4 linked regions of the Pelodiscus sinensis genome follow. The main gene of each other region encodes a partner of the protein of the gene in region 2 in a complex. Links are inferred from orthologs where the notes say so. Each region holds a gene or a part of one and is shown on either strand. Other genes may lie near its edges. The genes, in order: ACTL6B, SMARCC1, PHF10 and SMARCD1.

Region 1 (6,985 bases), on a different chromosome or scaffold from region 2:
GGTGGCAAGGTGGGGTATGATGGGTCTGCAGCATGGGCATAGCAGTGGGTCAGATGGAGGGACCATGGCAGTGCATAGCAGGGGGTGTGGGGAAAATGCCATGGGAATCTGGTGGGGACACTGGTTGAGGGGCCATGGCTGGGGGGCCCTGTGGCTGGGGCAAAGCAGGTTGTCCCATGTAGGAGGGGAGGAGTCCCGGGAGCCCAAGCCTCACTCATGCCATTCTTGAGGGGCGACAGGACTTCTGTGTTCTCCCGCGGGACATGCAGCGAGTTGGTATCGATGTAATAAACCTTCCCTGGCTTCTTCTCCTTCTCCCCATCCAGCTCCAGCGCCGCCTCTTCCGGGGCCAAAAGTCCCACTGTGGTGGGGAAATCTGCCTGCAATGGGGCAAGAGGGTGACATGCAGGGCTTGTCTCTACGGGCACCGGCTCCCACCCGGCTCCAGGGCAAGGGACTGGCTGGCTCAAGGGGGCAGGGAATGGAGTATGGGGCTTGTCTCCTCTAGGGGGCGCTGGTTCCCATCCAACCCCAGAATAGGAGGGTTTCATAGGGCCGTGGTGTCCAACCAGTTCTGAAGCACTATACGGGCTACTGCTATAGACAACTAGCCACACTCAACCAGCCAAATAGTCACATTGCTCAAGCCACATACCACACTCAACCAGCCAAATTAGCCACATGTGGCTAGTGGCTAACATGTTGGACATCGCGGTCATAGGGGAAAGTTGAGGGGGGTTCCAGGAATGCCTGGATGTACCTTTGGGCAGTCTTCTCCAGCATAACCAGCTCGCACTGAAAATGAGCCGATGTCAAAAACAAGAGCTCCAACCTCATCTGGGAGAGAGATAGAAACAGTCACTACCAATCACCTATGCAGCCACCTCTGGGACAAGGACCCCTCGCCCAGCACTGAGATGTGGCCACCTCTGGGACAGTGTATCTGGTTATCCAGGGACCCTTCACTCAGAGCTGAGATGCAGCTACCTCTGGAGCGGGGTGGCTGGTTACACAGGGACCCCTTGCTTGGCACTGAGATGTGCCAACTGCCGGGGTGGTGCACTGACCACTCTGCAATGCTGCACAGAGGCACAGACAATCCCCGCTCCAACAGACAATGTCTGGATCTGGAATTTGCTCAGATGCTAATGTTCATGCGCCAAGAAAAGGGGCCAGCCCTGATTCCAAGGGGAGAGTACCCCCTGCTGACTCTAGCCCCTCCCTGCAGCAGAGCACCCCCTGTGGGTCACGTGCCAATGCTGTGAAGAAAAAAGGGGGGCAGCCTTAAAGAGGATCCCTTACCTCCTCCATAGACACCCCCACTCATCCTGGCTCTGCTACGCCCCCTGCCCCGTACAGATCCTTGAGGGAGGTCCGGGATGTAGGGGAGGCTGGGTGCAGGGGGCTATTCAGCACCCAGGCGACTGGACAGCGACCGTGGAGGGGAGGGGGGCTATAGAGAGAGACGTAGAGGGGAGCTTCCACCTCAGCCAATCACAGGCTGCACCCCCCCAACCGAGGCAGCTCCTGATTGGTTAACAAAATAGACAATAAGTGATAATCTGGGGTTTTCTTAAAGAGGCAGGTAGGTGATTAGTGTCTGGGGAGGGGGTTAGTTCTCAAGTAGCAAGCATTATTCCCCTCCCAGAGTCAGGGAGAGAACCCAGGAGTCCTGGCTCCCAGCCCTCCACCCCACTCTAACCCACCAGATCCCACATTCTATTTAATTACTCCAGGTACCTCTCCAAAAATTATTATCCAAACATCCATCCCTGCCCCTCTTCATCCAACCATACATGCTCCCACCTCCTCTAGCCAGCCCCTTTCAACCTCCCCCCACTCTGCAATTCCATGCCCTGGGTTGTTCCAAAACAGCAAAATTCACCTAGAGGAGGGGACAGATCCTGAACTAGGATGTACAGGAATTCAGGAGGGGTTCAGAGTCAGGACTCCTGGGTTCGCTCCTGGTTCTAGGAGGGGAGTGGGGGCTGGTGGATCAGAGGGGAGGGGAGGGCTGAGAGTCAGGACTCCTGGGTTAGTGGTTAGAGCAAGGGAGGCTGGCAGCCCGGACGCCTGGGTTTGCTGGGAGGAGAGTGGGGGCTGATGGGTCAGGGCAGGGGCGGGGGCTGGGAGTCAGGACTCCTGGGTTCTCTGGGAGGCAGGTGGGTTAGAGCAGGGGGGACTGCGAGTTGATTCCCCCTTCCTAGTTTGACTGACCCATTGCAGAGAACATCAGGGTTGGTACAACTCATCTCTCCCCTCTGCTTTCATTAGTTGGTCTCGCCCTGTCCTGGTATCTCCCATCTTTATTTCCTCTCTCCCTCCTCCCCCCCCCCCCAGAAGCTGAGTTGTCTCCCTCCCTCCTCCGCCCCCCAGGAAATGAGCAACCTCCCCTGCTTGTTCTCCACCCATCCAGGACTGAACCCTGCCTGCCCCTTCTCAGAGAGAGTTGGTATCTCCCGTTCCTACTTGGGGGGGGGGGTGCTCTGACGGGTCTCCCTAGAGAGTTGGTATGGGTCATTTTCTCCTTTTCCTCATTGGAGCATCGGTCTCACGTCACCCCGGAATCGATTTGGTGTATCCTATTGTTAGCCCCCTTCTAAATACAGTGGGTAGTCTCACCTCCCCCCTTGAAGTGCATTGGTTTCTTCCACCTCTGACCGCCCCCTCCCTATAGTAAATGGTCTCACACTCATAGAATGTAATCAGAGAACACTAGAACTGGAAAAGACCAGTTCCCTACCCTCGTGGCAGGACCCAGCACCATTCTAGACCGTCCCTGACAAGCGTCTGTCCAACCTGCTCTTAAATATCTCCAGATCCCACAACCTCCCTAGGCTGGGAAGTGAATTGGTTTAGCCCATTAAAGGATGAATTCACTCTCACCACAGAAACGAATCCATAGCACCCCTCATATGGAAGGTGGTCTCACCCGGTGGACCAGGAAGTGGGTTGGTATCTCCCATTCCATAGCACCCCTCTATATGGTAGATGGTTTCTCCCTCATTCCTCCCCCGCCCCTTTCATTTGGTGCGTCTCGGGCTCTGGGCGCGGCCGCCCGCAGCCGCATCACCGGGGCTAGCAGGCGGGGGGGGGCGGATCGCTCCGCCGCTGAGGGCCGAAGCGGAGCCCGATCCGGATCCTTCCGCCCAGGGGAGCGGCCGCGGAAAGGAGTCCCCGGCCCCCCAGAAGCAGGCTGCGCCAGGTAGGAGGGAGGAGAAGGGGGCCCCAGCTGTCAGATCGGCAGGGGCTGGGCGCAGTCACGAGCGGGCCCAGGCTCCCGTCCCAGCTGCGGCCCGGAGAGCTGCCCACGCTGCGCTTCCCCCCTCGCAGCCCCGCACCGGGAAAACAGCCCCCCTGCTGGGGAGAGAACCCAGGAGTCCGGGGCTGCCGGCCCTTCCCCCCCCTTCCGGGCCGGGGACCCAGGAGTCCGGGGCTCCCGGCCCTTCCCCCCCCCCCTTCCGGGCCGGGGACCCAGGAGTCCGGGGCTGCCGGCCCTTCCCCCCCCCCCTTCCGGGCCGGGGACCCAGGAGTCCGGGGCTGCCGGCCCTTCCCCCCCCCCCCCCTTCCGGGCCGGGGACCCAGGATTCCGGGGCTGCCGGCCCTTCCCCCCCCCCCCTTCCGGGCCGGGGACCCAGGAGTCCGGGGCTGCCGGCCCTTCCCCCCCCCCCTTCCGGGCCGGGGACCCAGGAGTCCGGGGCTGCCGGCCCTTCCCCCCCCCCCTTCCGGGCCGGGGACCCAGGAGTCCGGGGCTGCCGGCCCCTCCCCCCCCCCTTCCGGGCCGGGGACCCAGGAGTCCGGGGCTCCCGGCCCTTCCCCCCCCCCCTTCCGGGCCGGGGACCCAGGAGTCCGGGGCTGCCGGCCCTTCCCCCCCCCCCTTCCGGGCCGGGGACCCAGGAGTCCGGGGCTGCCGGCCCTTCCCCCCCCCCCTTCCGGGCCGGGGACCCAGGAGTCCGGGGCTGCCGGCCCTTCCCCCCCCCCCTTCCGGGCCGGGGACCCAGGAGTCCGGGGCTGCCGGCCCTTCCCCCCCCCCTTCCGGGCCGGGGACCCAGGAGTCCGGGGCTGCCGGCCCTTCCCCCCCCTTCCGGGCCGGGGACCCAGGAGTCCGGGGCTGCCGGCCCTCCCCCCCCCCCCCCCTTCCGGGCCGGGGACCCAGGAGTCCGGGGCTGCCGGCCCTCCCCCCCCCCCCCCCCTTCCGGGCCGGGGACCCAGGAGTCCGGGGCTGCCGGCCCTTCCCCCCCCCTTCCGGGCCGGGGACCCAGGAGTCCGGGGCTGCCGGCCCTTCCCCCCCCTTCCGGGCCGGGGACCCAGGAGTCCGGGGCTGCCGGCCCTTCCCCCCCCCTTCCGGGCCGGGGACCCAGGAGTCCGGGGCTCCCAGCCCTTCCCCCCCCTTCCGGGCCGGGGACCCAGGAGTCCAGGATAGTGCCATTGCCCTGGGGGGCATTTACTGGCTGTGGAATTTCTTACGGAAGCAAATGGGATCAGCAGTTATGCCCAGTTCGGACAATCTGCTATGCCCCGGGCCACACTCACCCACTGCCTGCCTCCCAGCCAGTCAGTGGCTGGTGGGAGCACCCTGCTATCCTGTTCCCTGCCCCCCATTTTTGCTCCATCCTAAATCTTGTCTGAGTCTCCTATCCTGTTGCCTTGGCAACCATCAGTTGAAGGGAGCTGGGGCTAAGCCTCTCCCATCACCACAGCAACTACTGATTGTCCTCAGCGCCCCCCCCCCCCGCCCCCCAGATGCTGTAACACACTGGAAGGAACACAGAGAATCCGCAGTGCCAGACACCTGCCCCCCCTCAGCCACTCTGGCCCCATGACTGGCCAAGAGAATGGGAAAAATAATGCTTGGGAGCCAGAGCTCCTGAGTTCTCTTCCCTGGCTCTGGGAGGGGAATGGGGACTGGGTTGGGCCTGGTAGGGCTGGGAGCCAGAACTCTCCACAGCAGGTCTAGGGGCCCCATATCCCACTAAGCATTCCTCCTCTGTGCAGGTTCCCGCCAGCTGAGCGGAGCCGTGGCGCCAGCGCTGCCCCCCCACCACAGCCATGAGTGAGCTGGAGCAGCTTCGGCAGGAGGCAGAGCAGCTGCGGAACCAGATCCGGGTGTGTGGAGCCCATGGGGGTTGGAGCCCCCAATGCTGAACCCAGGAGTCCTGGCTGCCAGACTTCTCCCCCATGGGGGTCTTTATGGCTACTGTTTTTTTGGGGGGGGGGTAGCGCTTCCTGCTGTCCACATGGGGGCACTAGGAGTCGACACCCGAGTTCTGTCCCTGGCTCTGGGAGTAGGGTTAAAGCAAGGGGGGTATTGGGCAGTTCAGATTTTAACCCAAGGTCTCCCTCCCCCCCCCAGGATGCGAGGAAGGCATGTGGTGACTCCACTCTGAGCCAGGTGAGCAGTGTTGGGCCTGTTACTGGCATCCCCATGCAGCCCCTTTCCCCTGCCTCCAGGTTCCCTGGCTGGGTGCGGGTCCATGCCTCACCTGTCCGCCCCTCCCCTAGATCACAGCCGGGATGGACCCTGTGGGACGTATCCAGATGCGGACACGACGCACCCTGCGAGGCCACCTGGCGAAAATCTATGCCATGCACTGGGGCACTGACTCCAGGTGAGAGCTGGGATGAGCGAGCTATATGGGCATCCTTCACCTAGCACTCTGATGTGGCCACCTCTAGGGCAGGGCATCTAGTTATACAGGGACCTCTCTCTCAGGCTGAGATGCAGCCACCTCTGGGGCAGAGCATCTGGTTAGAGAGGGAACCTGGCTCAGTGTTCGTGGCCAGGAGAGGAGGATCATTTTCTCCATTGGCCTGGGGGGGGGGGGGGGGGGTCGCTTTGGTTTTGATTGGCCTTGGCCTAGTTACTGGGAGGGGCAAGGCAGGGGAAGGGCTGATAGCAAATAATGGGAGTATTTTGAGCCACCACCCACAGCGCAGTGCCACTCTGGCTCATCAGAGGGCTCTCTGCCTCTTAGGCTGCTGGTCAGTGCATCGCAGGACGGGAAACTCATCATCTGGGACAGTTACACCACGAACAAGGTGAGGGAGTTGACTGGTGAGATACTGGGGTAAAGGGTCCCAGGAAGGGGGCAGCTGACAGGATACTGGAATAGATGGGCTGAATGGATTTGGCAGGGAGGATACCAGGGTAAAGGGCCTCTGGGTGGGGGAGGGGGGAGGAAGCAGGTGTAGATTTAGATGGGTCCCAGGGTAGAGGGGGGAGAGACAGCAGGTGGGATACTGAGGAAGAGAGGTTGGGGGGGTACCCCCAGGATAGCAGGGTAGATGAGCCTGGAAGTGGCAGCAGGCTGGATACTGGCTTAGATGGGCTAGGGAAGGGGACATTTGGCTTCATACCTGGGTAGGTAGAGTAATTTCTCCTTTTCCCCAGGTCCACGCCATCCCACTGCGTTCGTCCTGGGTCATGACTTGCGCTTATGCCCCATCAGGGAACTATGTGGCCTGCGGGGGCCTGGATAACATCTGTTCCATCTACAGCCTGAAAACCCGGGAGGGGAACGTCCGTGTCAGCCGAGAACTGCCAGGGCACACGGGTGAGCCCTCGACTGCTAGGATTTACTCCTCCCTCGGGGAGGGAACAGGGGTCTGGTGGTTACAGCGTGGGGGCTGGGAACCCAGATTCCTGGATATGCGCTCCTGCCAGTACCCCGGCTCCCAGCTAATCAGCATCTTGCTGTCCCCCCCGGAAGGTTACCTCTCCTGCTGCCGCTTCCTCGATGACAATCAAATCATCACCAGCTCCGGGGACACCACCTGGTGAGCCTCTTCCCCTTCTTCAGGCCCCTGTGCTTGGGGGGGTGTGTAGAGGAATCAGCTCCCCAGAACCACAGCTTGGGGGGAAAGGATAAGGGAAGGCTGGGTCTGTGGAGGTGCCCAAGGGAGAGGCTGGAGTAGGTGGGGCCAGTGGGTGGGCAAGAGGGTAGGGATGGATTGCAGCTGGCAGGCAGGATCAGTGGGACCGACC
Region 2 (6,904 bases):
CTGGAAAAGATTCCCAACAACTTTGCAGAATCTAAATTTTCATGTAAGAAAATCATTAAGTATCTGGCCATTATGGTTAAAATTACCTTCACATATAATCAATGCATTACTGTCTTAAGCCTGCACAATGATGGATCCAATGCCTCTCCTGATGTGAGTCTTAAACTATAGCAGAGTGAAAAACATTCTTGCTAGTTTCCATAGCTGCAATCTAGAATCTTATGTACAACAGTGAAATTAAAAAGAACTGAGTTAATATCAACTTTGATAGTTGCTTGTGTAAAGTTCTGAACAGCAAGGGGGCAGGCACAAATTGGATAACTGAGGATGGAGGACTCAAACTAAGGCTATTATAAGTGGGTGGATAAATAATCTTCTCTCACAATAGCTAGGGACTCTGATCTGGAAATCTTGGAGAACTGAGTGAGAGAATGCTCCTTTCTTCCAGGACCCAGAAATCCTGGAGGAACCTCACACTTAATTCCCTTTCCCAGCAGCTTGGGTGAAGGATGGAGAAATATGTGATTGCTTATTTGGGCTACATCCTAGATAATATTCCTCAACACTCATCTGGGACTTTGGCTAGAAGGCCTCTGGTGCTAAGAATTTGGTAAAACTTCAATGGCCCGCATGAAATGTGGCACAGAAAGAGAGAGAAGCTGATGGGATAGAACTAGAGAAATACAATATGGAGAGAACTTAAAAAAAAAAAGCCCAAGTAGACCTGTGGCACCTTAGAGATGAACAAAAGGTGCTACAGGTCTACTTGTTCTTAAAAGTTGTTTCAAGTTACTAACTACATGGTACCCCTCTGCAACTTTTAATATAGAGAGAAGTAAAAAGAAAATAAGATAGAGAATGAAATGAATGGAAAAACATGGGGTGAAAAAAGAGACACTGGAAAAGATAATGCAAGGACAAGTTAAAACTTTACATGCTATTATAGACAAAGACCTGGAGTAAGAAAGGAAAAGGGAAAAGCATAACAAAACCAAGAGACATAATTAAGCGTTTAAAACTTTATTTAAAAAGAATCTGATTAGCATGTTTAAATTACATTTTAGCAGGCATTTGCAAATGTTTTTATTTAAATTGCAGGAGTTTGACTTTACAAAAATACTAGCCACAAAGATATATAATCAAAAAGCTATACTGGCATTACAAATCAGTTTAAAAACAATTTTGTTAAACCAGAGCAAAATCCTGTGTAGACAATTTTATTTTGGTTTCAAAGATTCCATAAGGAATCTGCTTCACCCAAATCAATATTAGTCACTCAAAATAAAATAAAGCTACACAGGGGGGTTGCTCTGGTTTAAATACACTGACTTAAACACCATTAGTCAAACCAGCAGAAGTCTGAATGCAAATGAAGCCACATTCCTCACAAAAGTGATCACTGAGCAAACTTTTCAGTTCTTGTTCTTTTAGATTTAGGAAACAGAGCCCTGAACCCCATAAGATTATAGAAAAGAAGGATGATCCAGACTGTTAGAGTATTAGCCAGGAAACCTGGGTTCAGTTCCCTACTCTATCACAGACTCTCTGCAAGGCCTTGGGCAAGTGATTCTGAGTCAATCCTCATCTGTAAAATGGGTTAACAGCACCTCACCTCCTCCTCCCATAGGAGTGTATGAAGATATTCGGATACTACAGTCACTTAGGCCGCACAAGCACCTAAACTCAAACGCATCAGCAATGCAGGTTTTTTTTTTTTTTAAAGGGGGCAACTTAACCCCCCCCCCCCCGTTTCTCGCCAGTGTGTGACGACGCTCGGCACAACCGCCCCTCGTTGGGCTGGGGCCCCGCGAGTGCCCGGTGACAGGCCAGCCCGCGGCGCACGTGCCCACAGCTGCGCGCACACACCGCGGCGAAGACCCAGATGCGGGGGGGGGGCGGGGGGGCTCGCCCTGAAGTCGCGCAACCGGCTCGAACTGATTTTGGAGACTTCCAGTCCGGGGGGGGGGGGGGGGGGGGGGGGAAGGGTCGGAGCCGCGCAGCCTGGGAAACGGCCCCGTTACCCGGGACCCGCCCGTTGGCCGGTAAGCCGCCCCCCCCCCCCCCCCGCAAAGGAGCGCCTGGCCCTTTGTGACCGCTCCCGGCCTAGCTGGGGCGCCCCGCCGCCCCTTCCTGGAGCGCTTCCCTCGGGTTGCCCCCCTCAGCGCCTCGCGGGCCGGGCCGCCCCTTCCTCACCCCCTAACCCCATTCCTCTGGCGCTTCCCCACGGGCCGCCCCGCCCCTCAGCGCCCCAGTCCCCGCGGGCCGGGCCGCCCCTTCCTCACCCCCCCCCCCATTCCTCTGGCGCTTCCCCACGGGCCGCCCCGCCCCGCGCCCCTCAGCGCCCCAGTCCCCGCGGGCCGGGCCGCCCCTTCCTCCACCCCCCCCCATTCTTCTGGCGCTTCCCCGCCCCCCTCAGCGCCCCACGGGCCGCCCTCAGCGCCCCGCCCCCCAGCGCCCCAGTCCCCGCGGGCCGGGCCGCCCCTTCCTCCACCCCCCCCCATTCCTCTGGCGCTTCCCCGCCCCCTCAGCGCCCCAGTCCCCGCGGGCCGGGCCGCCCCTTCCTCACCCCCTAACCCCATTCCTCTGGCGCTTCCCCGCCCCCCTCAGCGCCCCCTGCCCCGCCCCCCAGCGCCCCAGTCCCCGCGGGCCGGGCCGCCCCTTCCTCTACCCCCCCATTCCTCTGGCGCTTCCCCGCCCCCCTCAGCGCCCCACGGGCCGCCCCGCCCCCCAGCGCCCCAGTCCCCGCGGCCGGGCCGCACCTTCTTGTAGTGCTTCCCCAGCCAGACCCGCACCGCGTCCAGCTGGGACACCGTCTCCGGGCTCTCCCAGAACTTGCCCGTGGGGCCGCCGTCCTTCCGCCGCGCCACGGACAGCGCCGCCAGCCCCGCCGCCGCGCCGGGGCCGGGCCCGCCGCCTGCCGTCACTGCCGCTGCCATTGTTACCCTCGCCGAGCGCCGCCACCGCGGCCCTGCGCCTCCCACTCGCCTCCCGCCGCGCATGCGCCGAGCCCCGCACGCTCCGCCCCTTGGAGCATGCTCGGGAACCCCGCTCCCTGCCCCCGCCACCGCTGTGCACGCGCCGGTTCTCCCCGGGCGCCACCGCTCCTGCGTCGGCACCCTGGGCCGCGCTCAACGCACGCGCCACACGAGCCCGCTAGCTCTGCGCATGCGCCAGACTCCCACTTTTCTCTTCGCTCGTGAGGTCCAGGCAGACCGCACGCCCCTCCCCCCAACCCTGCTGTGCACGCATGCGTCAAATCTCAACCGCCCGGCACGGGCCGCACCGCACTAAGTCTGTACGCATGCGCTTAGTGGGCCAAGCCGCTCGTGCCGCGCTTTGCGCATGCGGCGCGTGGACGCTGGTGGGGAGAGTGTGGCTTGAATTTCCATGGCCGGGGGGGGGGCTGCCAGCCTCGTTGTCGCTTCGCCGCCCAGCGTCTCTTCCAGCCGTCGCTGCGCCTGCGCTCGTGCCCGCAGTGGCTCCCGCGTCGCTTTTCCCGCCTCGCGAGGGCGCGCGACGCCCGCCTGGCGCTGCGTTCCGCTCTCCTCAGAGGCCGCCCGCGCGCGCCAGCCACGGCGTCGGCTCCGACCGCAGGCCGCTCGCTCCTGTGCTGAGAGCGCCGCAAGGTTGTTATCCTGGCCAGGAAGCGGGGGGGGGGGGGGGGGGGGGGGGGGGGCTGCTGGGTTCTAGGCCTGGCCCAGACTCGTCTGTCCCTCACGCTCCCTGTCCTGACCGCTCCCCTAATCCCAGCCTCCCTGCCCAACCCTCTCTGCTCAGGGCGGGGCCCTGCTCTCCCCCACCACGGGGGGGGGTCCTGACCCTGCACCCCCACCCACGGCCAGATGTGACTCCCAGCCAGCTGGTACAGTACAAGGGTTTATTGATTGTCAGGAACGTAGCACAGGCTCGATGTTACCACCGGCATGGAGGGCAAACAGCCTTTTTCCTCGGGGGGAGGGGGGGGTCCTGGGCCCTGCACCCCCCTTCCCTGCTGTAAGCCCCCACACTCATCCTAGCCCAGCTGAGGCTGACCCAACTCCCAGGCCTAGTTCCCAGCCTGGTGTCAGCCCCCACCGATGTCCTTAAGAGTTGTTATCTTCCGAGTCTGGCTCCCCAGGTGTCTGGGCCCAATACACATCTGGAGTGAGCCCTGGGAATCACACCTAACCAATGCAGCCCAGCAGAAACAGAGGATGACAAAAGTAGACAGCGCCCCCACTAGGTCACACCCAACCAGGCTGAATCATCTCTGCTCAGGTCAGAGTCCTGCTCTCCCTCCCCTCCCCCCCCCCCATGGTTCCTCTCTGGACTGACTCTCCTCCACTGCTGGTGTCCAGTTTCATTGAGTGTAAGGCAGTGGTCCCCAAACTCCATGGCATGACCCTTTAAGGGGGCCCAGAGGAACTTTGCAGGTGGGACAGTGCTCAGGGAGCACCACCCAGCCTGGCCCTCTGCTCCACTCCCACTCTGTTCCCAGCCAGTCCTTAGCTGTGGCTCCAACTGCAGCACCCACCACCCTCCTGGCCACAGCTCAAAGGGAATAATGGACCAAGGAAGGGAGCATGACCAAAAAACATTTGGGAATTGTTGCTCTGAGGTCAGATGGGATTATTGTGATCATTCTACTCTGATCCTCCTGCAGGCCATGGATTCTTAACCACCCACTGGTGTGCTTGCTGGCTGAGCTACTGACGTCCTTAAAGTATAGTTTAAAGATTTCAAGTTACAGAGAATCCATCAGTTATGCTAGTTTAAACCTGCAAGTGACCCATGCTGTATGCTGTAGACTACAGTGTAGAGGAAGGCAAAAACCACCAAACTTGCTCCAATCTGACCCAGGGAAATATTCCTTCCTGACCCCAAATACAGTGATCAGTTTGCCTCTGAGAATGTGGGCAAGATCCACCAGGCAGCTATCTGGGAAAGAACTCTTTGTAGTAACTTGTGGCTTGTCTATCATCATCATCAACCATGGGCTCAGTGCCTGTTGATGTGCGATGCCTCCTTCACTATTTCCTTCCATCTTTCCCTGTCCAGTGCAAAGTGGCTTAGTTTCTGTAGACTAGCTCCACCGCAATCTACTATATCATCTACTCATTGTCTGTGGGGTCTGCTTCTCCTATTCAGACCATCCATTATGCCGAATACTAGGGTCTTAACTTTTCACTCGTTCATTCTCATCATTCATTCTACATTTAGCTTGTCTATAGTTGCTGCTAAATTGGCACTGCTGTGATTGATGCCAGATTTGATGTCAGTTCAGCAGATTTGGTGAAAACAAACTAAGTCAATAAAAGAGCACTCCCCTTGACTTCTGTACTTCATTTCCCTGAGAGGCAGAAGGCAAGTTGGCCCCCAGTTGTCTTTTTCAAATACAGGCAGTCCCCGGGTTACGTACAAGATAGGGACTGTAGGTTTGTTCTTAAGTTGAATCTGTATGTAAGTCGGAACTGGTGTCCAGATTCAGCCGCTGCTGAAACTGACCGCCAGTTCTGACTTACATACAGAATCAATTTAAGAACCCCAAGCGTCCCCAAGTTAGCTGCTGCTGAAACTGATCAGCAGCTGATTCCAGGAAGCCTGGGGCAGAGCAACTCTGCCTCAGGCTTCCTGTAGTCAGCGCTGGTCAGTTTCAGCAGAAGCTGACTTGGGGACGCCTGGGGCAGAGCAGCTGGGGTGCTGCTGGGTTGCTCCAGTAGCGCCGCTCCTCGGCACTACTGGAGCAACCCAGCAGCACCCCATCTGCTCTGCCCCAGGTGTCCTGATTCAGCCGCTGCTGAAACTGACCAGCAGCGGCTGAATCAGGACCAGAGCAGCTGGGGTGCTGCTGGGTTGCACCAGTAGCACCCAGAGCGGCGCTGCGGGACCAACCGGCAGCACCCCAGCTGCTCTGCCACAGGCGTCCGGAGAAAAGCCTAGTCTGCTGGGGGGGGGGGGGGGGGCGTACTAGCTGCGCCCCCCCCACCCCAGCAGACCAGGAAGACTCGGGCGGCGGACCGAGATGCTGCGCGTCCCGCCGCCTGGGTCCTCCGCGGCTTTGCTCCCCGTCTCCCTGGTCTGCTGGAGACCAGCAGACCAGGGAGACGGGGAGCGCCTCTGAGGACGCCGGCAGCGGAGCAGCCCAGGCGCGCCTGGGATGCCCCGCTGCCCGAGGCGCCCCCCCCCCCCCCGCGGCTTTGCAAAGCGCGGGGAAGCTGGCGGCGGGGCAGTCCAGGCGCGCCTGGGGTGCCTCGCTGCCCGAGCCCCCCCCCCCGCGGCTTTGCAAAGCCGCGGGGGGGCTCGGGCAGCGAGGCAACCCAGGCGCGCCTGGACTGCCCCGCCGCCGGCTTCCCCGCGGCTTTGCAAAGCCGCGGGGGGGGGGGGGGGGGGCTCCGGCAGCGAGGCACCCCAGGCGTGCCTGGACTGCCCCTCCGCCGGCTTCCCCGCGCTTTGCAAAGCCGCGCGGGTGGGGGGGGGGGGCCTCGGGCAGCGGGGCTGCCCCGCTGCCCGAGCCCCTCCGCGGCTTTGCTCTGCGTCTTCCTGGTCTGCAGACCAGGGAGACGCAGAGCAAAGCCCCAGAGTACACGGGCGGCAGGACCGCGAGGTCCCGCAGTCTGTGTACTCTGGGGCAGCCCCGTTCGTAACTGCGGATCCGACATAAGTCGGATCCGCGTAAGTCGGGGACTGCCTGTACCACTGAAGCTTTTGATTCCAATAGCTTCCCATATGAAGAGAGGTTAAAGCGACTGGGACTTTTCAGTTTAGAAAAGAGGAGACTAAGGGGGATATGATGGAGGTATATAAAATCATGAGTGGTGTGGAGAGGGTAAATAAAGAAAAGTTATTTATTAGTTCCCATAATAGAAGAACTAGAGGACACCAAATGAAATTAATAGTTAGCAAGTTTAAAACTAATAAAAGAAAG
Region 3 (7,881 bases), on a different chromosome or scaffold from region 2:
TGCCCCAAAGCCAGCCCCCACCATGCACTCACCCCTCCTCCCCCAGAGCAAGGCACCCCCAGTGCTGGGAGCACTCCCCCAGTCAAATCCCCCCCCCCCCCCCCCGGAGAGCCAGGCACCGGAGGAACTTACCATTAAAACCACTGCTCCTCCCACCCAGCTTAGCTGCTTCAGCTCACAGTATGTAGAGAGCTGGCAGCACTTAGCCAGCAGCTCCTGGGTCTGGTTGAAAGCGTTACGTGGGCCAGAGCAGTGTGAGCTCTGGTCCCACCCCAGCCCGGTGCCCCCCTAGCATGATGCCCGGGGGCAACCGTCCCCCTTCCTCCCCACTTTGCTACACCTCTGCTGGGGACCTTGGCAAACTTGGAGGGCTGGAGTGGGGTCCGAGATGGCTGGGGGGGTCAGCGGAGGGGGCATAGGCATGGCAGGGGGAGCTAGAGTGGGAAAAGGGGCTAGAGTGGGGAGGGCTACAATGGGAACAGGAGCCAAGTGTGCCATCACTTCCCGGATGGAGGTACACAAGTTTTTGCCCTGCTGCACAAGCTGGTCCCACATTCAGTTGTACCACTTGGCTTCATCCCAGACCTTTTGGGCCAGGGTTCATTGCATGTCACGCAGGATGGCCACGTGTTCCCTCATGAGGTCCTCATGGACCCTCCTGCACTTGCAACTCCAGCGGGATCGGGCAGCTGCCTCTGATGGCATGGAGCACCCCTCAGTGATGGCTAGTCCAGCTGTGGAGGAAAAGAGGGAGAGGTGGTCAGTCATCCAAGCAGACACTGTGCATGAGGCCATGCCCTCCTGTGTGAGCAGAGACTAACAGTCCTTGGGCCAGAGGACGGTGATGTCTCGTGAGCCAGGCCATGTGTGGCCTTCACTGCAGGACGAGCCCCAGGGACCACGCTTCCCACCACCCCACTCCATCTTCACAGACAAGCTGGCAAGGGAAGTGTCCAGCAACAGTGGGATCCCATGGGCGGGAGAGGGGCCTGGAGCAGCCTGGCCTTCCATGGGGGCTGCATACACAGCTGACCTGGCAGTGCCATCCACAAGAGCAGATGGTTCCTTGAGCATGCAAGCATGGTCGTGTGCTGTATGTGGCACCCCTCAAAGTGCTCAGGGTTGTGCCTGTGCCTGTGCCCGTGTGCTCAGTCTGCTTCCAGCAGTGTCTGGTGGTGGGAGGGAGTTCCCCATTGGTCAGACGTGTGTGGGTCCTCCACACAGCCTGTGAGCACGAGACCATGGGTGCTCCAGGGCTAGCTTCTGAGGCCATGTGGTACACACTGCCGCTGCATGTGCTTGCACGTGCACAGAGTGAAGCACACTGCCCAGGCTGAGCGACGATCGCTCCTCATCCCCTCTGCACCTCCCTCTCCTGCCCTGGTATGTGTGTAAAACTGAGCACTCACCTGATGATCCCTCCCCGTCATCAGAGGATACCTGGGAGATGTCCAGGGCTTGGGGTACTGGCTCCAGGGTGAGGGTGATTGTACTGGCTGTGTCCTCTTCATCCTGCAGCTGCTGTTTGTCCTCCTCCTCATCAAGGAGCTCCGGCTAGATGTCAGCAGATGGTCAGGGCAGTGTGTGTGTGTGTGTTACACCCGAGTCTTCAACTGCTGGCACACAAGACCCCGTCGCAGTGGGCAGTCTAGGAGAGACTGACGGGCGCCCCGAGGAGTTTAACATCTGTGTCTTAGTCTGCTAGGATTGGGATCCCTTCGTGGAGGTCAACCAACAGGCTGACAGATGCCCCAGAGTTTATAGGAAGAGCTTATTACATCTCAGATTTTAACTGCTAAGATACAGGATCCCTTCGCAGCGGGCAGCCTAGGGAAGGCTGAGAGATGCCCCTACGGATCTGTCCCCTGGAAGCAACACGATCCAAATGCCCCAGCTCTTCCTATATCTGTCCCTTATGACCGGCTGAAGTTCTTTTAAATTGTGCTTGGTTCTGTTACAGCAACTGAAGGAGTCAGGTTAAACCTTAAACAGTTAGACTGTGTCTAGACTGGCCAGTGTTTCCAGAAAATCAGCTGCTTTTCCGGAAAAACTTGCCAGCTGTCTACACTGACCGCTTGAATTTCCACAAAAGCACTGACTTCCTACTGTAAGAAATCAGTGCTTTTTGCGGAAATACTATGCTGCTCCCATTCAGGCAAAAGTCCCTTTGGTGCAAAACTTTTGCACAAAAGGGCCAGTGTAGACAGCTGAGATTTGTTTTCTGTAAAAAAGCCCTGATTGCAAAAATGGCCATCGGGGCTTTTTTGCGGAAAAGCGTGTCTAGATTGGCCACGGACGCTTTTCCGCAAAAAGTGCTTTTGCGGAAAAGCATCTGTGCCAATCTAGACGCTCTGTTCCGAAAATGCTTTTAATGGAAAACTTTTCCGTTAAAAGCATTTCCGGAAAATCGTGCCAGTCTAGACGTAGCCATAGGGGCCCGTATCTTCTTTCTTATCTAAGATGCCAAATTGTGTTGGCCTGTCTTTGTGACGCCAGTTCCTACAAGGGAGTTTCAACTTAATTTACACTTGCAAGAGAGATAACTAAATTGTGAGTACTGGACATTTTTTTACTGGGCGGGAGATTCCTGCCCCCTGGACAGTGTGTGTTCGTATCAATATAGGTTTCAGTCACGGGCACTCCTCGGCAGCCTCTTGGTCAGCAATTAGCGTATCTCTGTTTACAGCCATCCAGGGTCACAGCAGCCTGCATATTCGGGCCTTCTGTCCAAGGCTTTCAAAGACTATGCTGTTTTACTGGTCTGTGTGCCCTGCATGCTTCCAGGCCAGCAAAGATGGATGTTACAGGGTGGTTCCTGTCTGGCTACACTAGGTGACCACAGGTGTCTTGAGTCCTGAGTCCACCATTATGGGTGGGCAAAGGGCTTCACCATCCCCCAGGATTCTGTGCAGCTCCTTGTAATTTGGACATGTGTGAGGTCCTACTCCAGAGCAAGAGCTGTGCTCCCTGTCTCTGGCATATCCTTGGCGCAGCTTCCTTGACCTTGCTCCTGACTTGGTCCAAAGTGTGGGGGTGGTGTCCCCTCTTGGCTAGAGCCATCTGGCCATATATGTCAGCATTCTGCTTCTGGGAGTGGGGATCCTGCAGGATGGCCTCCTCCCCCCACAACTTGAGGAGGGACAGGATTTCTGCCCCAGACCAGGAGGGTGCGTAGCATTTGTTGCCCTATGCTGGGCCTTGGGAGCCCTGATGCTGCTCCCTGTGAGGGCTATAGGGATCTTGGGGGGCTTGTTGCTCTGCCATACCTCCCAGTGTGTGGCAGACAGAGCCGTGCGATAAGGGTGCTGCTCCATGGCCAGCTTCCTGCCACAAGGCTTGGCCCAGGTGTCTGCAGCTTTAAGAGCTGGCACGAGACAGGAACTATAGAGTTGTGATTAGTATGGATGGAGTGTCCACCTGGGCCTATGTTATTTCCTGGAGACCTTTTCTTTCAAAAGAAATGCCCCCTCTTCATCAACACATGCCTTTTTCCGAAACAGCTCTTTCGGAAAAGGTGTTCTTCCTCGTAGAAAGAGGAGTACCGCTGTTGGAAAAACCTCTCTGTTCTTTCAATTTACTTTAGAAAGAATACGATTGCAGTGTGGACGTAACTTAAGTTTTGTTGAATCCTAGCATGCAAAAATTATCGGATTAGACAGCGATAAACCACACATGCAAATTGTGCATCAGAGTCATAAAACTGGCTACAAATGCATTAAAAACAAGTCAAAAGCTTAACAAATGGAGACTGTGCCAAAATGCTCCTCACTTGAGGCACCGCCTGGGCTTGGTCTGGCTCTACCTGGGGGTCTCCTCTACCACTTCTTGGGCTGACAGCTGTAGCCCCTTGTCATAGGACTGAGCAGTTAGGGTTGACAACAATTTATATGTAAAGTTAACTAACCCTCGCTGGTGTTCTGGCAAAAGAACTCTCCATGGCTATGTCTAGACTGCAGGCTTCTTTCGAAAGAGGCTCTTTCGAAAGCATCTTTCGAAAGAGCCTCTTTTGAAAGAGAGCGTCTAGACTGCACGGAGAAATTTCAAAAAAGCGGCTTGCTTTTTCGAAAGAAAGCATCCAGTGAGTCTGGATGCTCTCTTTTGAAGAAGCCCTATTTACATTGAAGAACGCCTTCTTTCGAAAGAGGAACTTTCGAAAGAAGGCGTTCTTCCTCGTGAAATGAGGTTTACCGCCATCGAAAGAAAAGCCGCGTTCTTTCGAATTAATTTAGAAAGAACGCGGCTTGAGTCTGGACGCAGGGGAAGTTTTTTCGAAAAAAGGCTACTTTTTTCGAAAAAACCCCTGAGTCTGGACACAGCCCATGAGAAAGGGAGAACCTGTGCATGAAAAAACAAAAACCAAACCCTGACATTGGTAGGGTTGCCAGGTGTCCGGTTTTGAACGGGACAGTCCAGTATTTGAGTTTTCTGTTCAGAAAACAAATGGAGAAAATAGAAATGTCGGGTATTTTCTAAATCAGCTGTAATGCAGATTGTGATGGAATGTCAAGCGTGTCTGGTATTTTTGTTGAAACCATCTGGCAAGCCTGGACATTGGAGCGTTGTGGCAGACCAGGAGTGAGGGGTCTTTTACTTAGAAATTGTGTCTGGTGATACAGTCTCAGGGCTTGGCCTTAGGGCTGAGACTGGTTTAACACCCCCCCCCCCAGTAAAGGCCGCTGGGGATCCGCCGGGAGAGGCTAATTAGAAAGCGGGAGTGAGAGAGAAAAGGGGCGCAGGCACTGGGGGGTGCGCAGGCACGTGGGGAAGGCCCTGGTGGGCGGGGCCGCGGGGAAGGGGGCGCAGGCACACGGGGGAGGGCCGAGGGGAGGTGACTCCGAGAGGGGGGTGTCGGGTGGGCGGGGCGCACTGCGGGTCCGGCCAGCAGGGGGCGGGGCGGGCGCGACGCCGGGGACGCTGCGGCTCCTCGCCCCGCCCAGCGGAGGGAGCGGGCGGCGGCTATGGCGGCGGTTCTGTCCCCGCGGGTCTGTGACAGCGACCCGGCCACGCCCGGGGCCCAGTCCCTGAAGGTGAGAGAGGCGGGCCGGGCTGGCAGCCCCTCCCCCTGCGCGGCGGGATTCTCCCGGGAGCGCGCGGGGGGAATCAGACCAACCCTCCCCCCCCCGTGTTATGGGGGAAGTGACCGGGCGGGAGCCAGCCCGTAGCGCAGCTACCTCCCGCCCGGCCTGTTCCCATCGCCCCCCCCCCGGCCCACAGAGACCCCAGCCCCGTAGGGAGCCGTGGCCCGGGGGTGGGATAGGGAGCCCTGGATGCCTCTTCCCGCGAACGGGCTACAGCTCCTCAGCCTTCTCGCCAGAAGGGCTAAGCCCGGGCAAAGGAGATACAGCTCCCGGGGCTCCTCCAGGGTTGGCTTCCTGGCCTGGAAGTTGACCAGTTTCTAGGTTTGGGACTGGCCAATCTCGCAGGAAGCTGAAAGCCGCCCCCGTGGGCCAGAGATGAGCAGTGGCTAGTATCTTTGCAACGGGTCTTTCCAGTGATGTGCAGCTGTTTCCTGCATCTCCCCTTCCTTCAGATTCAGAGGTGACCTTAGCAAATGCTGTCTGAAAGTATCTTGGATAACTCAAGCTTGCAAGTGGTCTAAAAAGGCCTAATAATAATACAGAGTACTTTTATTCAGTACCTAGGAGGTTAAATATCATCTCATTTATACAGATGGAGAAACAAAAGTGCACAGAAGGTGGACTGGTCATACAGGGAGTGCATGGAAGAACTGAGAATAGAGTATTAGATTTAAGTCCAAAAAGGATCATTTTGGTTAAGACTGATAAATTTAGTTTAATCAACTAATCGAATAGTCTATGCAATTTTCAGCAGCTATTCAGTTAGGGTACATCTACACTTGCTCCCTAGTTCGAACTAGGGATGCAAATGTAGGTGACCAAAATTGCTAATGAAGCGGGGATTTAAATATCCTGCGCTTCATTAGCATGATCTGGCTGGCACGTTAACTCCGCTCAACAGCTGATTAGACCCAGGAAGTGCGTGCCAGAACGCGTTCGAACCAAACCCCTTGGTTTGAATTAACGTTACTCCTCGTGCACTTCCTGGTTCGAATCAGCTGTTGAGCAGAGTAACATGCTGGCAAGATCATGCTAATGAAGTGCAGGACATTTAAATCCCCGCTTCATTAGCAATTTTGGTCACCTACATTTGCATCCCTAGTTCGAACTAGGGAGCAAGTGTAGATGTACCCTCAGTCAATAAGGGCACCTTTGCCTTTGAAATGTAGCAAGAGCCCTGATGGCTCTTGCTATGTTTCAAAGTCAGAAGTGCTGTGGGAGCAGAGGGCAAGCAGGGGACACAAGCAGTCCCCTGCTGGCCTGCAATTCCTGATTTTGAAATGTGCAAGAGCCTCCCCTCACCTGGGGCTCTTGTACATTTCAAAAGCAAAGCGTGTGTGGGGGAGTCAAGCAGACTGAGGAGGGCATTTGTACATTTCAAAAGTAGGAAGCACAGGGCTGACTGCTTGAGGTCCCCCCTCCCTTGCCCTCTACTCCCACAGTGCTGCTTCTTTTGAAATGTAGCAAGAACCCTGCACCAGTTCTCCACTGTGCTCTCCTTGCCCTGCCCCCTGTGCTGGGAGGAACTGGCTTTTAAGCCAGTTCCTCCCAGCGCTGGCTCCTGCTCTTCCTCCTCCCCTTCTTGCTGCCTCTCTCTAATAGAGACAGCGGGCGGAGGGGTGCTACTAGTCAAGTCACTAGTCGACTATCCAATATGCTTATTGGATAGTCAACTAATCACTTACATCTCTAATTTTGATCATTGGTTTGATTTGATCTGTGTATCCTAGCTCCTTTTTTCCCAAGTCTAATAGCTATGGTTGAACTAGACCAGGCATGTCCAAAGTCCGGCCCGCGGGCCAATTGCGGCCCGTATTCCGGTTTAATACGGCCCCCGCTTCCTCCCCCTCTCCTGGCTCCCCGGCGCTCTTTGGAACTGGCGCACCCAGCGCGCCGCTTCTGGCCGCACCGCCGCCGCCGCCGCCCATGGCCTCCGCGGTCCTAGAGCCTGCCCTGTAGGGCACGTCCGCAGCCCCGCTCCCCCGCTCGGCTGCGGGTTCGCCCTGCCCCCGGGCCGCCGTGAGGCCGGCGTGCCCTGCGCTCTCCGCCCGCCTCCGACCCCGCGGGCCCTCCACCTTGGGGCTGAGAGTGCAGGGATGGCCCTCACGCATGTTCACTTCTTCAAATCTGGCCCTCTTTGAAAAAAGTTTGGAAACCCCTGAACTAGACCATCTCCTCTGGAAAAAATCTTGTGTTATGAGCTGGATGAAAATTTGTTTTGGGTTGAGTTAAAACTGTATTGAAATTGATAAGTGTAAATTCATCCTTCAGTTAACATAACTCTAAGAGCATATACTGCTAACTAAGACAAAGTGAGTCTTTGCCCACGATAGCTTATGCTCCAATACATCTGTTAGTAAGGTGCCACAGGACTCCTTGTTCCTTTTGCTAAATAAGAGAAAAGGAGTGTGTGAATGGGCCCAGGAGCTTTTGCTGAGTATTGAGGAGGGTGTGTGTATCTGTGTGTGTGTGTGTGTCTGGAAGCATGGTGGCTGACCTGAAGAAACTAGGGGCAGTTTTTGTGTTGAGGTGTGGCATGAAAAGAATGCCCTTGGTGGTGTGAGCAAAAGAAGCTGTTTCTTGTTTTATTTCTTCTGTATCTAGAGAAACAGGATGTTTGTGTAGTTTTTTTTAAATAAACAAGACTGCATCAAGTAAATATCTTTCACTAATTTCTACTCTCATTTTGAACACCACAGGCTTTGGCAGAAAAAGAGCAATACTAATATTAAAGTTTCTAGTGATAGCTGATTATCTGCACTTAATTTTGCACTTCATTTATAGTCTGAATTTGTCTATCTTA
Region 4 (7,460 bases), on a different chromosome or scaffold from region 2:
GCAGAGGAAGCATGAATAAAAACCCTCACTCACCCTCTGAGGTAGAATCTTGTCAGCCATTTTCTTTTTCTTAGCGCTGTTTAAAGAAGGATACATGTATTAAGCGGGCAACCAGTTTGTTTCTCAAACAGCCAGAACACAAGAAAAGAAGCACAGGTGTGGGTTTATTCTCAGTCTTGGGACTCCGCTATGAGGGTACTTGCTCCATAACAACTGGCTCAGTCCAGTTCTCTCTTTCAAAGACTGTTTATTGTGACTATCAGTCTCTATACAGACACCTTCCTTACCCATCCCTTCCTCCCCAAGGCCAAAGCAGGACTGAAGCTCAGAAGCTCCTGCAAGACCAAGACCACCTATTATTTGAAGTATCCCAACAGATATAGATAGCTGGGGTTGCCCTGAGTTTGGAGAGGTGTTCGGTTAAATATTTATTTTGGCACAAAATGACTCTCGGGTTTGATTAAATATTAAGCTGGATTTTTTAACAGATAAGTATTTTAAGCCAGGCAATACTGTTGATATGTTAAGTAATAAAAACTCTTGCTCTTGAATAGGAGCAAAATATTATTATCTGAAGCTCCCATCACCCAGCGAAGTAGCTGCACAAAAAGTTTAAGTCAGTTTGAGCCAAAACAATTAAAGAAGAAAGTCCATGAGTATGCTGGGAGCAAGGGACACAGAATATGTCTACACTTGCACCCTCTGTTGAGAGAGGGATGCAAATGCACCTGAGCAAAATTGCAAATGAAGCACTGTGAATTTCCCACACTTCATTTGCATATTAATGTTATGGTGCTATTTCAAAACAACAAAAGCTGTGTAGACGCGGTTATTTAGAAAGAAAAACCTTCTTCCGAAATAACTGGTAAACCTCGTTGTAGGAGGAATAAGGGTTATTTTGCTCAGCTGCATTTATATCCCTCTCTTGAAAGAGGGTGCGAGTGTAGACATACTCACACAGAAGTCCCAGATGTTATGACCCAAACAACAAAGCAATGTGCTGATCTCTGATATCAGTGGTAAGCATACGAATTACTGAATATTGGCCAGTCCATTTTTGTAATGTGGCCCACTAGCATCCAAAGGGGTTTCTTTGGATATGATGGACAAAAATGTATGATTTGATCCCTATTTTCTGGAGGTTCATAAGTGGCCTATTTCAATTTAGATACTGCTTTCCTCGTGAGCATTTTTCTTTCTGAACCACCTTAGATTATGTCTGCTTGACATGGATATTGAGAGTCTCCCTAGCACTTTTGTAAGGGTCGGTGGGGTGGATGCACTGGTGTTTTGGACAAAATCTGCCTGACTTTGAATAACTATTCAGCAATGTGCTGTTAATTGGTTTGTTCCAGCCTTCTGCTTTAGAGAGGGCTGGATTTTGGTGGTATTATAATTATAGAACTTGTGAAGGAATTTGGTGTCCTTCAGGAGGAGTCACTAAGTGGTCACAGAAAAGATAAATCAACCTCATAATGAGGTGAGAAATCTGGCCTCTTACTTGTGGTTACGATTCTGAACCGCTTGCTGCTGGACCTGCTGGATTTGCTGAGGAGCTGGCCTCTTGCGGGACTGATCCAAACCAGACTGGGCCATTCCAGGCCGGACTGAGGGACTCCCACCATATCCTGGGGGACCCATGGAGGGTCCCTGAGGTGTCATGCGGCTGCCTGGCAACATGCCAGGGCGCTGAGGAGAGAAACACAGGGATCTGGTCTCCATCCAACCCAAACTTTGGAAAGATGGAGACTCACCAACAATGGGCTGTTAAGTCCTAAGTACAAGTAGGCTACCAAGCCATGTCTGCTGGGAGCACAAAGCCATGTGACTCATGGGCTTGCTTAGATGGACTCAGATCACAACAGGGCTAGCAGCTCCAGAATGGGATGCTTCCAACCAGGAATAAACGGGATTGTAACATATAAACCATAACCAGCAAAGCTGGCTATGAAGGACGATTCTTAATTTTACACACCTCTCCCCACTGTAGGCCTTATGTCCAAACCCCTGCCTACAATTCACTTCCACTCAGTGAATCATCACTCCTGACATTCCCATAAGATACTCCAACACTCACCCTTGCCTCAGCTCACTCATTTTGTCTAGGCTGCCTCTCCTCTCTCCTTGTTCAGCTCTTAGCTCCCCTCTTTCTACTCAATCTTCTCTTTAGGGTCACATTTTAAAATGAGAGTAACCCTTACTCAGTGATAGACATATAGCCGTGTTAGTCTGGTGTAGCTGAAACAAAATACAGGACTCTATGTAGCACTTTAAAGACTAATAAACCATCTTGTTAGTCTTTAAAGTGCTACATAGTCCTGTATTTTATTTCACCCTTACTCAGGGCATCCCTGATGACATTCTCACCCTGTTGTGCCCCCAATTTTACCCAAACATTTCCTCCTTACCCTCAAATACACCTCCCCATAGTTGGCCAAGTCACCTCACCATGCACTGAGGCTGTTTTCTCCCCTTGCCCTGAGCCCCAGCTTGCTGTCATTTCACCCCACATCCTCCTTCACCCCAGAGCCCTGGACTCACCGGGCCTCCTATGCCCCCAAGACACGAGGGTGCTCAGACCCCTCCCTCCGCCCCATTTACTGCCCCCACTTCAGACAAAGACCAAGCCCGGCCACCCCCTGACTCACCCTCAGGGACCTTCCTCCCTTCCTATTGTTCCCTTAGGGGCACCCCAGCCCAAACCCTTCCCCCTCCTGACCCCTCCCCCATCCCTCCTCCGCCTCCATCTCCGGCCCCTCCCTCTCCCCCGCTTCTATCCCCTCCCCCACTCCTGCCTCCAGCCCCCCCCCCCGTCTTACCGGGTAGGCGGCGCCCGGCAGGGGGGAGCGGTACAGGCCTTGCCCGGGAGCCGGGCCCATGCGGACGGGGGGCCCCGGGGTGCCCGGCCCCAGCGCTCCGGCCCCCCCGCTGCCGCCGCTCGGAGTCACCGACTGGAAACCCGCCCGCGCCGCCATCTTCTCCCAGCACAAAGCGGGGGAGGGGAGCGGAACCGGAACCGGACCCCGACCGTAGAGCGCGCCGGGCAGAGCGGCGCCTGAGGAGCCATAGAGTGCGCGGGGAAGAGCTCCGAGAGAGGCGCGGGACGCAGGCTGCTCCCCCTGCCGCTGGGAGGCCGGAGCTGCAAGGGGCCGCGTGTCGTCTAGAGCCGTGTTTCTGAGCCTTTTTTATAAGTATCCTTTTCTATCCCTCTGTCTACCTAGATCCCCCCAGTACCTACAGTTTTCAGACACAACATTTTTTTCTACCCATTGCAACACATTTATTTAAGCAACTTAATTGGAGCTGGCTGGGTGATGACATTTCTGGGTGTCAAAAGTACAAAAACAATAAAGTGCTGTAAAACTTACAGCAAAAGTTCAGTTTTCTCCAAATTGCCATTGTGTTGACATACTCCTCAGGCTTCTCTTGGGTACCCCACAGGGGAAGGGTACTTGTGCCACTGGTGGGGAGAATGGTGCAGGCAGAGACTGTGCCTGGGGGCAGTGTGGTGTGGAGGCCTTCCAGATGGGCTGTGGGAGGCAGGCACCTTATCCACTGCGCCCCTGGAAGAGTCCCCCAACCTTCTGGCCTTCAGAGCCCCCCCCCATATCTGTCCTATGTCCCAAGGGTGCCAGGTCCATCCATTGCTAAGCTTGTGTTGGGGGGGGGGCTTGACCCCTGTGCTTCTGGTTCTGCAGGTAGGTATGTTATGCCCTGCACCACTGGAGGAGACCCCCAACCTCTCTACTTTTAGGGCCCCCCTTCTGTGTCCTTTGTTCCCATGATGCCAGCTCCATCCCTCGGGAAGCTGGTGGTGGATGTCCCCAGGGGCATGGGGGAGCACTCACCATGGTAACAAAGAAAGGATAAGGGAGGTCAGAAGGGAGGGAGGTTCAGGACCGTCTCCTGTGGTGCAGTGGATAAGTACCTGCCGCTGGAGCCAGAGGTACAGCACTTGAGCCCTGCCTCCCTGGGGACAGCCACCCCAGCTGTCTGAGGGATGGAACATGCAGCCTGGGAACAAAGGGGGCCCTGAAGGTAGGGAGGTTGGGGGCTCTATCCCGTAGCACAGTGGATAAAGTACCTGCCGCCAGAGGCTGAGGGCTCAAGTCCCACCCCCACCCAATGTGGGTTCACCCAACACAAGCTTGGCAGCAGATGGACCTGGCACAGAGAGGGACAGTGCCAGGGGCCTGCCTGGGGAACAGGAGGCCATGCTTGGCAAACAGAGGGCAGTGTAGAAAGGGGCAGGGGGCTGTGCTCATGAGGGAGGGAGAGGGACAGGGACCCACAAGCACTGATGCCCAGAGCACCCTGGCTGCACCAGCAACCATCACTCCTGCTGTTAATGTATCCTAACACAAACACAGGGAATGCAAGGCCATGAGGTAGTTGGGGCTGGACCTTTATGGAGCAGAAGGCTGGACTAGGTTCTTCCAACCCTCATCTGTGAGTGAGTCTACGAGAAAGTTCTTCCAGCAGAGCCTAGCCCAGCTCTCCATGCGCTGTGTGCCCTAGGGATGGGCTGGGGCACCCTGGGGGGCAGGCCTGCGCACGTGCCATGTGCCCGGGGGCAGCGCTGCGCGCCTGGGCCCAGGGCACCAAAAAGGCTCAGGCCGGCCCTGGGCTTGTGTCCCACGCTGCCCCAGCCAAAGCTGGCTGCCTGCAGGTTCCACAGTCCAGATTTCTACCTCCCAGGGGCAAGGCAGATAATGGCTTCTAATCCACTCTGTCTGCGGCAGTAATGGAGCAGCTGGACAGGTCCACAGCAGAGTCTTAACTGAATGAGAGGAGCCCCAGGAAGCCAAAGTCCATTAGTGCCAGAGGGCCTCTTGAAGGGACGCTTGGGACCCTCTAATCTGATTGGCTCCAGGCCTGGAATATCCGGTGGCAAATTTGCTGAGCACCATTTAATTAAGTAGGAGGCTAATGTGATGCTGCTTTGTAGGGGCAGGAAGTCCTCTGTGGCTGAGGTGTGCTGGGCTTGTTTCCATACACACTGCCCTGGAGTGGGACCACAGGGCTGCACCATGGGAGGGGCCATAAAGCCAGCTTCCTGTGGTGCTGTGCATGACAGACAAGGTATTAGCACTGGGGCCTTGGCCAAACTCCTTCCTGTCTCCCTAACTGCCCACTGCAGTTTCTACCAGCTTCCTCTTTGCTTCCTGGCTGTGTGGCAGCTTTGTGAGGAGGCCAGGTCTTAGCAGCGGGAAGCCCATCCCTGCATACAGACTGGGGCCTGGCGCTGAAGAGTGCCCTTTCAGCAGGCCGGGAGCAGCATTCCCTTAAAGGGTGCGTTTACACAGCAGCTTCATTCCGGACCAACTGATGTTATTCCAAAATAACAAAGAGTTTGTCTACTCGACAAGCCATTATCATATATATAGTAGCCCAGTGTCTGTGTCTGTAACGCCGAAATGCTGGCTGTTCCCTCTGGGGGGGCGCTATTTCCTGAAATGCTGGCTGTTCCTCTGGGTATGTCTACACTACAGCACTAATTCGAACTAACTTAATTCGAATTAGTTAATTCGAACTAAGTTAATTCGAATTAGTGCATCTAGACCTAAAAACTAATTCAAATTAGCGTTTTGCTAATTCAAAACAGCATATCTACATTGAGTGGACCCTGAACTGAAGTTAAGGCTGGCCGGAAGCAGTGCCAGCAGGGCATCAGGTTAGGACTTAGGGTGTGGAGCTGCTGCCTCAGGCTAGCTGAGGGCTGTGCTTAAAGGGACCCAACCCCCACCCCGGACAGACAGTTCTCAGGGTTCCCTGCTTGCTTGTCTAACTCGATGAGGGACAGCAAAGCAGTCCTGTCTTGGAGTGCCCTGAATGCCCACACTCGGCACATCACAGCACTTGGCCATCAGACCGGCTGCACTTGCCGCAGGCTGCCATCCGGGGGCGGGGGGTCAATCGGGGGGCTGCAGGAGAGCTTCCACCCCGAGGAGCCCGCAGAGCCACCCCAGTCCTCTTCTTTAATACACCTGTAACTGTTTAAGCTTTAACCTGACTCCTGCAGTTGCTGTAACAGAACCAAGCACAATTTAAAAGAACTCCAGCTGGTCATAGGGCAGACACAGTGAGGGAGAGCTGGGCGTTTGGATCGTGTTGCCTCCAGGGGACAGATCCGTAGGGGCATCTGTCAGCCTTCCATAGGTTGCCTGCTGCAAAGGGACCCTCCCCTAGTCCTAGCAGCTAAAGACACGGGTATAATAAGCTCTCCCTGCAAACTTTGGGGCATCTATCAGCCTGTTGGCTGCCCGCTGTGAAGGGACCCCGGTCCTAGCGGCTAAAGACATGGACATAAAACTTTGGGGCACCCATCGGCCTTCCCTAGGCCGCCTGCTGCGAAGGAACCTTGAGTTCTAGCAGTTGAAGACTCGGGTGTACAGGGGCAGATGACCATTTTGCAGGGCCCAGGGCAGCACAATTTTGCGGGGCCCCCCTTTGCCACAGCGCATGTGCGTAGCTTCTTGAAGCCCGGGGCGGTCGCCCCACTCGCCCTGCCCTGTATCCGCCCCTGTGGGTGTATAACACACACACCACACACTGCCCTGACCATTGGCTGACACTCCCCCGTGGCGGCCCAGCTGAGTGGTGCAGAAGTCAGCTGAGCACCACGGCGGGTGGCAAAGGGGGGCCCCGCAAAATTGTGCTGCCCTGGGCCCTGCAAAATGGTCATCTGCCCCTGTACACCCGAGTCTTCAACTGCTAGAACTCAAGGTGGTGACGTGCGGCGTGACAGCAGCTCCAGGCCCCGCCTCCTGGCCGTGAATGTCACCGCCCCACCTCCCTTTGCCTACCACCATGGTGCTCGGCTGACTTTTGCACTGCTCAGCCGGACTGCTGCGGGGGAGCAAGCGGCCGTTTGGGCTCTGCACCCCACACGCACCCTGAACGAGAGGCAGGAGGGGGAGAAGAAAAAGAGAGAGACAGAGAGAGAGGCAGGAGGCAGAGGAGAGCTGAGAGAGAGAGAGGAGGAGGCAGTAGGAGAAGGAGAGAGAGAGAGAGAGAGAGAGCGGAGTGCAGGGAACTCTACCAGATAGAAAGAGCTGGCCTTAATGCAATTCAGTTTACCATGTGTTAATTAGTAACACAGGATTTAAAAAAAAATCATTAAGATCAGAGTTTTAGATATCTGCAACATTCCAAAACATTCCGTTAAGATAATATTTTTCTTTTTTGCCTTAAGCCATTAACACAGGGGTGGGCAATAATTTTTGATGGGGGGGGGCACTCCAAGAACTCGGTAAGTGGTTGAGGGCTGAGGAGGGGGTGCAGGACCTGGGAGGGGGTTGTGATCTGGAGTGCAGGAAGGGGTGCAGGGATTTGGGCTGTGACCAGGAATAGCAGATTGGGATGCAAGGTCTGAGAGGGGGTTGTGACCTGAGAAGGGGTGTAGGAGGGGGTGCAGTGTCTGGGAAGGTGTATGGGGGCTGGAGCAGGGGTGCAAAAGT

What was found.
Region 1: SMARCC1 (region 2) and ACTL6B share a complex: the UniProt entries of both Homo sapiens proteins name them as parts of the BAF complex. The link is inferred for Pelodiscus sinensis from reciprocal best matches to the Homo sapiens genes SMARCC1 and ACTL6B.
Region 3: SMARCC1 (region 2) and PHF10 share a complex: the UniProt entries of both Homo sapiens proteins name them as parts of the neural progenitors-specific chromatin remodeling complex. The link is inferred for Pelodiscus sinensis from reciprocal best matches to the Homo sapiens genes SMARCC1 and PHF10.
Region 4: SMARCC1 (region 2) and SMARCD1 share a complex: the UniProt entries of both Homo sapiens proteins name them as parts of the BAF complex. The link is inferred for Pelodiscus sinensis from reciprocal best matches to the Homo sapiens genes SMARCC1 and SMARCD1.

The regions. Positions count from the first base shown.
Region 1 is NC_134734.1:9,007,184-9,014,168, reverse strand, and holds the start of ACTL6B (actin-like protein 6B), read right to left. Parts: upstream 3,017-6,985; 5' UTR 2,887-3,016; intron 2,854-2,886; exon of another isoform or gene 2,234-2,853; coding exon of another isoform or gene 2,218-2,233; intron 2,212-2,217; exon of another isoform or gene 1,886-2,211; intron 1,528-1,885; exon of another isoform or gene 1,454-1,527; 5' UTR 1,328-1,453; coding exon 1,303-1,327; intron 838-1,302; coding exon 761-837; intron 381-760; coding exon 215-380; intron 1-214. Other genes in the region: GNB2 (guanine nucleotide-binding protein G(I)/G(S)/G(T) subunit beta-2), read left to right, coding at 5,050-5,106, 5,354-5,392, 5,503-5,609, 5,976-6,039, 6,392-6,554, 6,711-6,777. UniProt on the Homo sapiens protein: Involved in transcriptional activation and repression of select genes by chromatin remodeling (alteration of DNA-nucleosome topology).
Region 2 is NC_134712.1:256,776,540-256,783,443, forward strand, and holds the start of SMARCC1 (SWI/SNF complex subunit SMARCC1), read right to left. Parts: upstream 3,016-6,904; 5' UTR 3,000-3,015; coding exon 2,760-2,999; intron 1-2,759. UniProt on the Homo sapiens protein: Involved in transcriptional activation and repression of select genes by chromatin remodeling (alteration of DNA-nucleosome topology).
Region 3 is NC_134713.1:121,613,170-121,621,050, reverse strand, and holds the start of PHF10 (PHD finger protein 10), read left to right. Parts: upstream 1-4,873; 5' UTR 4,874-4,958; coding exon 4,959-5,027; intron 5,028-7,881. UniProt on the Homo sapiens protein: Involved in transcription activity regulation by chromatin remodeling. Belongs to the neural progenitors-specific chromatin remodeling complex (npBAF complex) and is required for the proliferation of neural progenitors.
Region 4 is NC_134729.1:6,453,499-6,460,958, forward strand, and holds the start of SMARCD1 (SWI/SNF-related matrix-associated actin-dependent regulator of chromatin subfamily D member 1), read right to left. Parts: upstream 3,015-7,460; 5' UTR 2,976-3,014; coding exon 2,820-2,975; intron 1,690-2,819; coding exon 1,502-1,689; intron 77-1,501; coding exon 34-76; intron 1-33. UniProt on the Homo sapiens protein: Involved in transcriptional activation and repression of select genes by chromatin remodeling (alteration of DNA-nucleosome topology).